Linked DNA regions of Bombyx mori. The protein of the gene in region 1 interacts with the protein of each later gene in a pairwise test. Links are inferred from orthologs where the notes say so. Each region holds a gene or a part of one and is shown on either strand. Other genes may lie near its edges. The genes, in order: electron transfer flavoprotein subunit alpha, mitochondrial; electron-transfer-flavoprotein beta polypeptide.

Evidence for each region.
Region 2: the proteins of electron transfer flavoprotein subunit alpha, mitochondrial (region 1) and electron-transfer-flavoprotein beta polypeptide interact in a two-hybrid assay, tested with the Drosophila melanogaster proteins (2 studies listed by BioGRID). The link is inferred for Bombyx mori from reciprocal best matches to the Drosophila melanogaster genes wal and Etfb.

The regions. Positions count from the first base shown.
Region 1 is NC_085111.1:13,689,235-13,693,750, forward strand, and holds the start of electron transfer flavoprotein subunit alpha, mitochondrial, read left to right. Parts: upstream 1-1,589; 5' UTR 1,590-1,964; coding exon 1,965-2,006; intron 2,007-2,238; coding exon 2,239-2,379; intron 2,380-2,738; coding exon 2,739-3,003; intron 3,004-3,364; coding exon 3,365-3,580; intron 3,581-3,960; coding exon 3,961-4,112; intron 4,113-4,516.
Region 2 is NC_085131.1:3,928,394-3,933,014, reverse strand, and holds electron-transfer-flavoprotein beta polypeptide, read right to left. Parts: upstream 2,985-4,621; 5' UTR 2,917-2,984; coding exon 2,866-2,916; intron 2,398-2,865; coding exon 2,239-2,397; intron 1,976-2,238; coding exon 1,817-1,975; intron 1,738-1,816; coding exon 1,657-1,737; intron 1,307-1,656; coding exon 1,166-1,306; intron 687-1,165; coding exon 516-686; 3' UTR 413-515; downstream 1-412.

The DNA.
Region 1 (4,516 bases):
GACTATGATTTATAAACGTTATTTAGTGTTTGAACCAGCATATATATTAAAGGTAAGTCTCAGTTGTTATTGGTTTTAATGTATTTGATTAAATAAAAATATATGTAAAAATCTGTTGTTTTTGGGGATATTGGGGACGTCTTAGGTACAAATAACAACGACAAAGGGGTCAATTGGGATGAGAATACGTGAAATGGAAACGACCTAAGTACAAATAGGTACAGGTTTGTAGGGTTGTCTATGTAGTTATAACAATATTTTTTAAATTTGTTGGTAAAAATCTGGTTTATTCGAAGCGAAATAGGGAATAAGTCTTTAGTTGAAATAGATAAGCAATTTAATATAAGTAAGTCGATTTTGCAGAGACATGTAACAAGATCAATGAAATCTCAAGGTGGACAAAAATGTCTAAGTAATATATTTAATATTTGAAAAATAAATATTTAATATTTGTTCAGAGTGGGGGTATTCATCTGATTAATCCATGGAATAACCGACACACCTAATCTCTTAACCCAGATAGAAATATCAGCACTATCGATTGCACCTATAATTGAGGTGATGTCTGCCATGTACTTTTGTCAGTTTTTAAATTTTTTTTATTGATGATCACTTTGTTGGTGCAACTAAATAAATAAATTAATTAAAACTATATATAAAAATGAAAGTAGTGCCAACCCTAGCAAATTTCTCATTTCGTCCCAATTAACCGCAATTTTCGGGTAAATAGGGATTACAGCTATTTTTGCATTTTTTGCTTAAACTGGAATGCTAGTTGCATAATTTTAAATTAGACAACAAAGATGCCCCCAAGACTCAATCATTTTGATCCTGATATAGCATTATATACATCAACAACTATCTTAAAATTGCTCATAAAGTTGGAATTTGTCCCTAGTCGCCCCATTTTACGGTATATGTCTATGAAATTTATCAATAACTTTATTGTGAAATCAAAAGCGTTTTTATTAATATCTGTTATCCACGCAATGGAAACTGAACTAGACTACAGTTAAAATCACGATTCACGACAACGCTTTATCTAATAAATAGTGCTACTCAGCAAAATTAGATTTTTTTAGTCTGCATAATTTCGAATTAGTTAAATCTGTGTAAGGAGTTAAATCTGTGTAAGGAGTTATAGTGTACTGCATTTACCTTCAGTGAGCCACATTCACCTCTCGCGGCAAAACACGAGTACAACTCGGATTCAAGTAACTTTTTAAATTTTCGGATAAAAGGCTTATTACACTTGGCTAAATTTAGTCGACTGAATTTAGTCGGTACTGAATTCAGTGAAGTGTAACAGCATTCAGTAAGCTAGCCTACTAAATTCAGTAGCAAGGATGGTTTCTGACTGACTAAATTATTAAGAAGCCTAATTAGAAACGCATTTAGAAAAGCGAGGACTACGCCAAGACCAATTTTTTGTTGTCTAGACAATACTAGGGCCATCCTCTTATACACACGACACGTCCAACTTCGTCGCGCTTAAGCTGGCAATTGATTCAGTAACTGAATTAAGAATAGTGTAATCAGAAGTTTCTAACTTGCTTCTGAATTCAGTCGTAAATTTAGCCAAGTGTAATAAGCCTTTAACGCCACGCGGACGTCAACATGTTCTATAAAATCTCAATAAATTTCTACTGCTTTAAAGAGAGTTTAATATATTTCATGTCATCCCACAGCTGTTATATTATCTTACCTATTATAATTCAATTTGATTTCATTATTTAATCAACTCAACCAGCACAATCGTTAAATGTTACATTTTATTTAATAAACATGACTTCTATTTTTCCTACAAAATGGCATGCACTTCGTTCCCTTTGCTTGTCTTAGCCACGAATCAAATAAAAACCTCTTGTCATTTTTGAACATTGGACTTTGTAACCTAGATTTAAGTTTAATAAATTATTTAATAAATAAAAACAGATTTCCTGAACAAAATCTTGCTTATCAAAATGTTTGCACCCAATAGCAGGCATTTATTTTTGTCTGGACAGGTTGGAAACTTTATTATTATATTGAGATCCTAAAACTTAGATTATTAACCTCTAGATGAGATTAGTCTTAAAACTTATATGTTAATTTCAAGGGTCGAGGTCACGATGTGAGTTATGATAATTATTGTTCAATTGGATTTTAGAAATAAATAGGTGCATAAGTAATTTAGACCCATTTTTAAATATATTTTCCTAATATATTACTGAATTGTAATAGCGACTCTAATTTCAGCTGCGTCGTTTGCAAAGTACTTTAGTGCTCGCCGAGCACAACAATGAGGTACTATCTCCAGCAACCCAAAATACATTGAATGCTGCCAAGAAAATTGGAGGTGATGTCTCAGTGCTTGTGGCTGGAACCAAATGTGGACCTGTATGTTTTTATTTTGAAGCTAATTTAACAAACAATAAGTACAGTTTCGGGTTTTAGTCTTGGAACCAATTAATAATAAGTATTGGCATCTTATGTAATCTCGTTATATGAATATATATCAAGTCAATTTTAATCAGAATCCTGTAATAGAATGCCATGGTTCTGTAATTAGCTATTGTATGTGAAGGATGTCATATTTAAAGTAGAGTTACTTAAATATTAAAAATTGCTAGAATATCAAATATTAAGTACAATGTAATGTCATGGGACAGTGCAGTCAGTACTAATTGCAGAGCTTACCTATAATTGTACTATTATCATTTTCCTAATAAAAAACTTTTAAATTTGACTTCTTTCAGGCTGCAGAATCCATTGCTAAGGCAAATGGTATATCTAAAGTTTTAGTGGCTGAGAGTGATGTCTTTAAAGGTTTTACTGCTGAAACCCTGACTCCTCTGATTTTGGCTACACAAAAACAGTTCAAATTCACTCATATCTTAGCACCAGCAACTGCTTTCGGAAAGACGGTGCTGCCACGAGTTGCGGCCAAGCTTGATGTGTCACCAATAACTGATATCATTGGTATCAAGGATGCTAATACCTTTGTGAGAACAATTTATGCTGGTGAGGTCCTATTGATCATGTACATTTTGTATATATCATTTTTACATTCATTATTCATACATCTTTGTAAAGCCTCTGGCTCTATGCTCAGTGTATTTCCAGAGCTCTTTTATACAATTTATCAACCTCAACAAACTTCCCTCCATGGTATTCCTTGAGCTCTAAAACATTTCATTTTTCAAATGTGCCTTCGGGAGTGTTCTCTATGGTGGGCAATGGCAAACGTCCTTATGTAATGCCAGCAATGTCACTCAAATGTCACATGGGCCATAAGCTCATTGCCCTATGAAGGTAATAAAAACAGTCTGTTAGTTCAACTGAAATTAATGTTAATTAATGATTAATTGATTGATATTTTTAGGTAACGCTATATTAACCCTTGAGGCCAAAGATCCTATCAAGGTCATCACTGTTCGTGGCACAGCATTCCCTGCAGAGCCATTGGAGGGAGGGTCTGCAGCAATTGATAAAGCACCTGAGGGCGACTATAAGACTGATCTGGTTGAATTTTTAAAGCAGGAATTGACCAAATCTGACAGACCAGAACTCACTAGTGCTAAGAATATTGTATCTGGTGGTAAGATATTATAGTTAAAAAATAATAATAATAAATAATCAATGCTTAATTTAATTGCTTGGTCTAATTTAATAGAAACTTTAAAATTAATGTAATGTAGAATTCATAGGACTAAAATTCCACTATTTAAACTCTCGTTATCTTATAGGTCTTAAAAGCAACGAATGGTTCTACTGGTTCTGCTAAAATACTGCAATTATCTTACTGCATTATTATTGTACTGTAAACCCTCATAGATAGATACCAATATGCTGCCTATTTCTGTTATGTGGATGACCTGTAAGAGTGCTCACACATCTACATAATAAAAAGATACTTTTCAAAATTATATTCAAATTACACATCAGAATTATTCAAAGTGTAATGTTGTTATTTGACAGGACGAGGCTTGAAGTCTGGTGACAACTTCAAGTTGTTGTATGATCTAGCTGATAAGTTGAATGCGGCCGTGGGTGCCTCTCGTGCAGCTGTCGATGCTGGCTTTGTACCCAACGACCTACAGATTGGACAGACTGGCAAGATTGTTGCTCCTGTTAGTATTAAATTTATATTTAATTAGGTGTGCTTTCTTTGAATCTCATACACTTTAGATTTGACATTGAATACACAACTCTATCAGAATGTCACAGATACAGGGTGTATAGAACTCCTTTATGATTCCTAACACAAAAGCATACAAATTATTTAAAAAATGTATTTCTTTTTCGACTGGAAAGAAACTTCTTTTGCTCATAATATAACAAATTTCATACAAAAATCAATTGAGGTGGTAGATTTATGGTCGTAAAATGTCATAGATGTATATGTCATATAAAGCTTTTGTGAATTTAGTTTTAGATTGTCGTTTTACAATAAAACGAACTGTTCACTTTAATGCTGTCCTTGAGCGGTTCCAGTATATACAACATACTCTTTCATTATGTGTGTTGATGCCGT
Region 2 (4,621 bases), on another chromosome or scaffold:
ACACCAGGTGGGGTGTGAGCTCGTCCACCCATCTAAGCAATAAATAAAAAATAAAAAAAATGATGGGTGGACGAGTTCACGGCCCACCAAGTGTAAAGTGGTTACCGAAGCCCTTCAATCTACAATGTTAATACCGCCATTCACCTTGAGATAAGAGATGTAAGGTCTCAGTATAATTACGACAGCTGCCTCAACCTTCAAACCGAAACGCATTACTGCTTCACGGCAGAAATAGCCAAGGCAGTGATACTTGTGCGGACTCACAAGAGGTCCTACCACCAGCAAATGATTTGTTTCGTTAGAAAAGCCTATTAATATATAATTAACCCAAATGTGAAATATTTAATTCTGAATTTCTTAACGATGAAATGGGAGTTTTTAATTAAAAGACAAAAAAGTAAACAATGTCAATAATTACATTAACAATATACATAAAACATGATTCTATAAACATTTAATATAAAAATGTTCCCTATGATTTTTCACTATTGATAAATTAAAAGTTCGATTTACGATTACACATGTCCGCCTTCCTTAAGCTTAGCAACGAGAGTGTCGACATCAGGTATGATGGAGCCAGCCTGTCGGACTGGAGGATCTTCCACAGAGACCACCTTGATACGAGGTGCCAGGTCCACCCCAAGGTCTTTGGCACTTACTTTTTTGAGAGGCTTCTTCTTTGCTTTCTAAAACAAATATAAATTACGGTAGATGAGGATCCTTCCCAACTAAAATAGAGACTGTATATATTCCATGTATTCAAAAAATTTATCATGAATCAATTACAATATTGATAACAACCATGTTACAATTAATAAATTAAATTTTTTATGTGATAAAAATGGTGTGCTGAGAACTAAATGAAAATATTATGATTTTTATTGAAAATATTATGATTTTTATTGAAAATATTATATTTGAAGTTGTTCAACTTATCAAGAATAGTTAGCAATCGTTGTATTGAAAGTTTAAATTGTATGAGGCATTAATCAACTTATCAAGAATAGTTCATCCTTTTCAATTCTCAATGGAAATCTATACATCCAAAACAACAACAATTTATCAGGCACAGCTTAATATGGAACTTGGGGTTCTTTATCTGCAGTGTATCAGTGTATGTTCTTCTAATTTCCATATTAGTATATAACTTTAGAGTTGTATTTACCATGATGTTAGGCAGTGTAGCATATCGTGGTTCATTCAGTCGCAGATCAGCACTCAGTACAGCTGGGATTTTTGTCTTGATAACCTCTAAACCTCCATCAATTTCACGGGTTATAGTTAGAGCACCATCAGTCTTTTCTATCTACAATAAAGATGAATTTGTTACTGTTTATTGTAATTGAAGGTTTGGCTAGGATAATTATGCATATGTCATTAAAATTGTCAATACATTGCTTACAGGCGGCCAATACAGCACACCGGTGGTACAGTTGAATGTATTTATGTTCACTTAAATTGAAGATGTTAGATAATTCGGTAATCCCAATATTGAACTTATGACTTCTTGCATTAAAGAAGAAAAGAGCATCATTTTAAACAAAATTGATGGGTTGTTTTTTTTAATCACTGAATAAAAACTTGTAATAATTGGTTATTATTGAAAACGAATTATAACTTAATTCATTAGTTCTATTTACAAATTATAAAAATTACCTTTGATGCAAATGTTCCTTGTGGCCAATCTAATAAAGCAGCAGTCATCTGTGCTGTCTGGTTGGAGTCATCATCTATGGCCTTAAAAATTAAAAAGAAAGTTTTAGGTATTTATGACACAATGACATAAAAAAATATATGCATTTTTAATTGTTGTTACCTGTTTGCCAACAATAACTAAGTCTGCCTTCTCATCTTGTGACAGTTTTGCTAAGATTTTTGCAACATGAATGGGCTGTAATGTGTCATATTCAGCCCCAGCCACTTCAACATGAATAGCTCGATCTGCACCCATCGCAAGAGCAGTTCTGAGAGTTTCCTTTATAATAAAATAAACAAGCTTTAGCCTCAAAAAGTATGTAAAAAAATTATAATGAGACTATAAACAATTCTTTTACTACTAATAGATGAAATTTATTCTTAAATTAATTTATTATTTTTATAAGAAATTGAAGTCATTAGTGTTAAAAAGACCGATTAGAATAAATTGTTCTTTTTAAATGAAATTTTATTTAAAATGAATTATAATTTTATTAGTTTAACATGAACATTTAACCAATCTGCATTTTTTTTAATGGATACCTGTGCTTGTGATGGTCCACAAGAGACTGCAATGACTTCGCTTGCTAACTTTTTTTCTTTCATTCGAACAGCCTCCTCTACTGCTATCTCATCAAAAGGATTCATTGAGTGCTTCACCCCATCTGTGACTACACCAGACTTGTCTGGCTTCACACGAATCTGAATATAAAATTCATATTAATCCTCTTTGTGATACTAAATTTCATATTACATTGCACACACTTGCCAAAAAACTTATTAATTAATTATACTAACTTTAGTAAGTAATCAACTTTACTATTGAATTAAAAAAAGTCTATTAGGATCTAACTAAGTGCGTCATTTTAAATTTTAGTATAGTATAGTTCGGAGTTAAAGGATTTTATCAGTAATGTAATCTTAATTTAAGTGGTCGAAAAGATTGCCAAGTGGCAAAGGGTCATTAATCAAGGCTATTATGAAAGATTATAGATAAGAATAGCTTAGAAACGCAAAGGTACTATATTCCAAATACAATTGGACAGTTACAGTCTTTATTGGTTATATATGTATGTATATACACGTATTCAAAATTATTAACTATTTATTATTCTTTTATTAATAAAAACGGTGCATAAAAAATAACCTTTGCACTTTCATATAACTTACTTTTACAGCATAGTCGATAACTCTCTTAACGCCAACAAGAACACGAGACATTTTTCTTTTAATTAGTATCTAAAAGGCGTAATAATTAAAGGACTAAATATTAACGAAAACAAACTAACAGGTAGGTACGAAGTCCAAATTTAAAATATCCACAGATTACTAACAAAGAGAGCAAAACTTTAAAACGTTATTAACATATATAATAATCTGTGGAACTTCGCTGGGTCACAGTGTGTCCACTTTTAGAGAATTCTCCTTTTTTTAGGGAAAAACAGTTGATATTTTGGATGGTTAAAGACAATTTGAATAATACAAGGATTTAGGGAATTTCGGGGTAAAACGCAAAGCCTATACTAGTAACCTTGTAGTAAAGTAAATCATAGACTAAACCACTGCTTTTTTCTTAGGAATTCCCCAGAATCCTAATAAGTGTAATCCGCCAAAATTTTATTTACCTATGTCACCAGAACCTACTCGTATTGTAATATATAGGTACTTCATGAACCATGAAAGATTATCGTGGTAATTTCATTTACGAAAACCTTGAAGTTGCCGTTTCACTTTTACTAGCAGTTCCTTCTTCAAAGACTGAAGTGGAAAGATTATTCAGTGTTCTTAAAAATGTAAAAACTGACAAAAGAAACAGGATTTTAATGACACCCCGAAAGGCTTGCTTCATACAAAGCTTAAAATGCTAGCAAACAATTGCTCAATCTTAGAACCGAACAGCGTTATGTTGCGTGCAGCAAAATAATATAAAAGCAATGCGTCGACTTCCCAAAAATTCTAATCCTATAGATCTATGATCTTCTGTGGGCGTTTTGTTATTATATATACCTACATTAAATAATATGCTATGGTTTATTTTCTGTATTTTATTTATGCTTCCTAAACTTCGATCATCAATAGTAACTAGATAAAGGGACACGTACAAAATTAAAGCAAAAGCTGTCCGCGTGAATATACACCTATAGCTACATTCGTTTACTAACAAACGGAGAAAAAAGTTTTGAAACAGTTTTAAGTTCAAACTAATTACAACTATGGTACTTTGTAATAAAGCCACAAATCTCCAAAACATTATCTAATACTTACGATCATTCGTCACATAAAATGAGCAAAGTAATAAATTAATCCTGTCACTTACAAATAAAAAAACATATGTTAAACAATTTTTAATGTTAAATCAACCTTAAGTGACAACAAATAAAGTACTTTTTCCCTTTATTGCTCTGAGAACAAACATCGTTTTGTTTTATTTATTTTTGCTTCTTGAAATTTCGATTTCTGTTTACTACAGGAGGTAAGGGAGTCGCGTTGAACACTAAAATAATTTATTAATGAATAAAAGCAAAAGTTTAGTTGTTTACTTTTTATGTTTTGGAAATTTATGTTTGTTAGTATCTATACATTATTTATTATTTTATTAGCGTTGCGTTTTTGTGTAATATATATTTTTATAGTATATTTTTAAGTTTTCGCGACCAGTGCACATAATAAAACAACGTTTAAACGGTTTCAAGCGCGGTATTTTTATTACAATGTTTCGGCCACGTTTCAGTAGCCGTGAGCACGGAAGACAAAGATGTCCAGTGTCAATGAGCGGAGATCTTAGCTGGCTTATAAAAGTCATCTCTTGTTTCTCTGGCGACAATCGAGATCCATTCTGCACACGTGATTGCTAGGAAAGCTAAAATAAAAAAGGAAAGCTAAGTATCTAATGAGAGTCCAAAAAACAGACACAAAAGCAGCATTA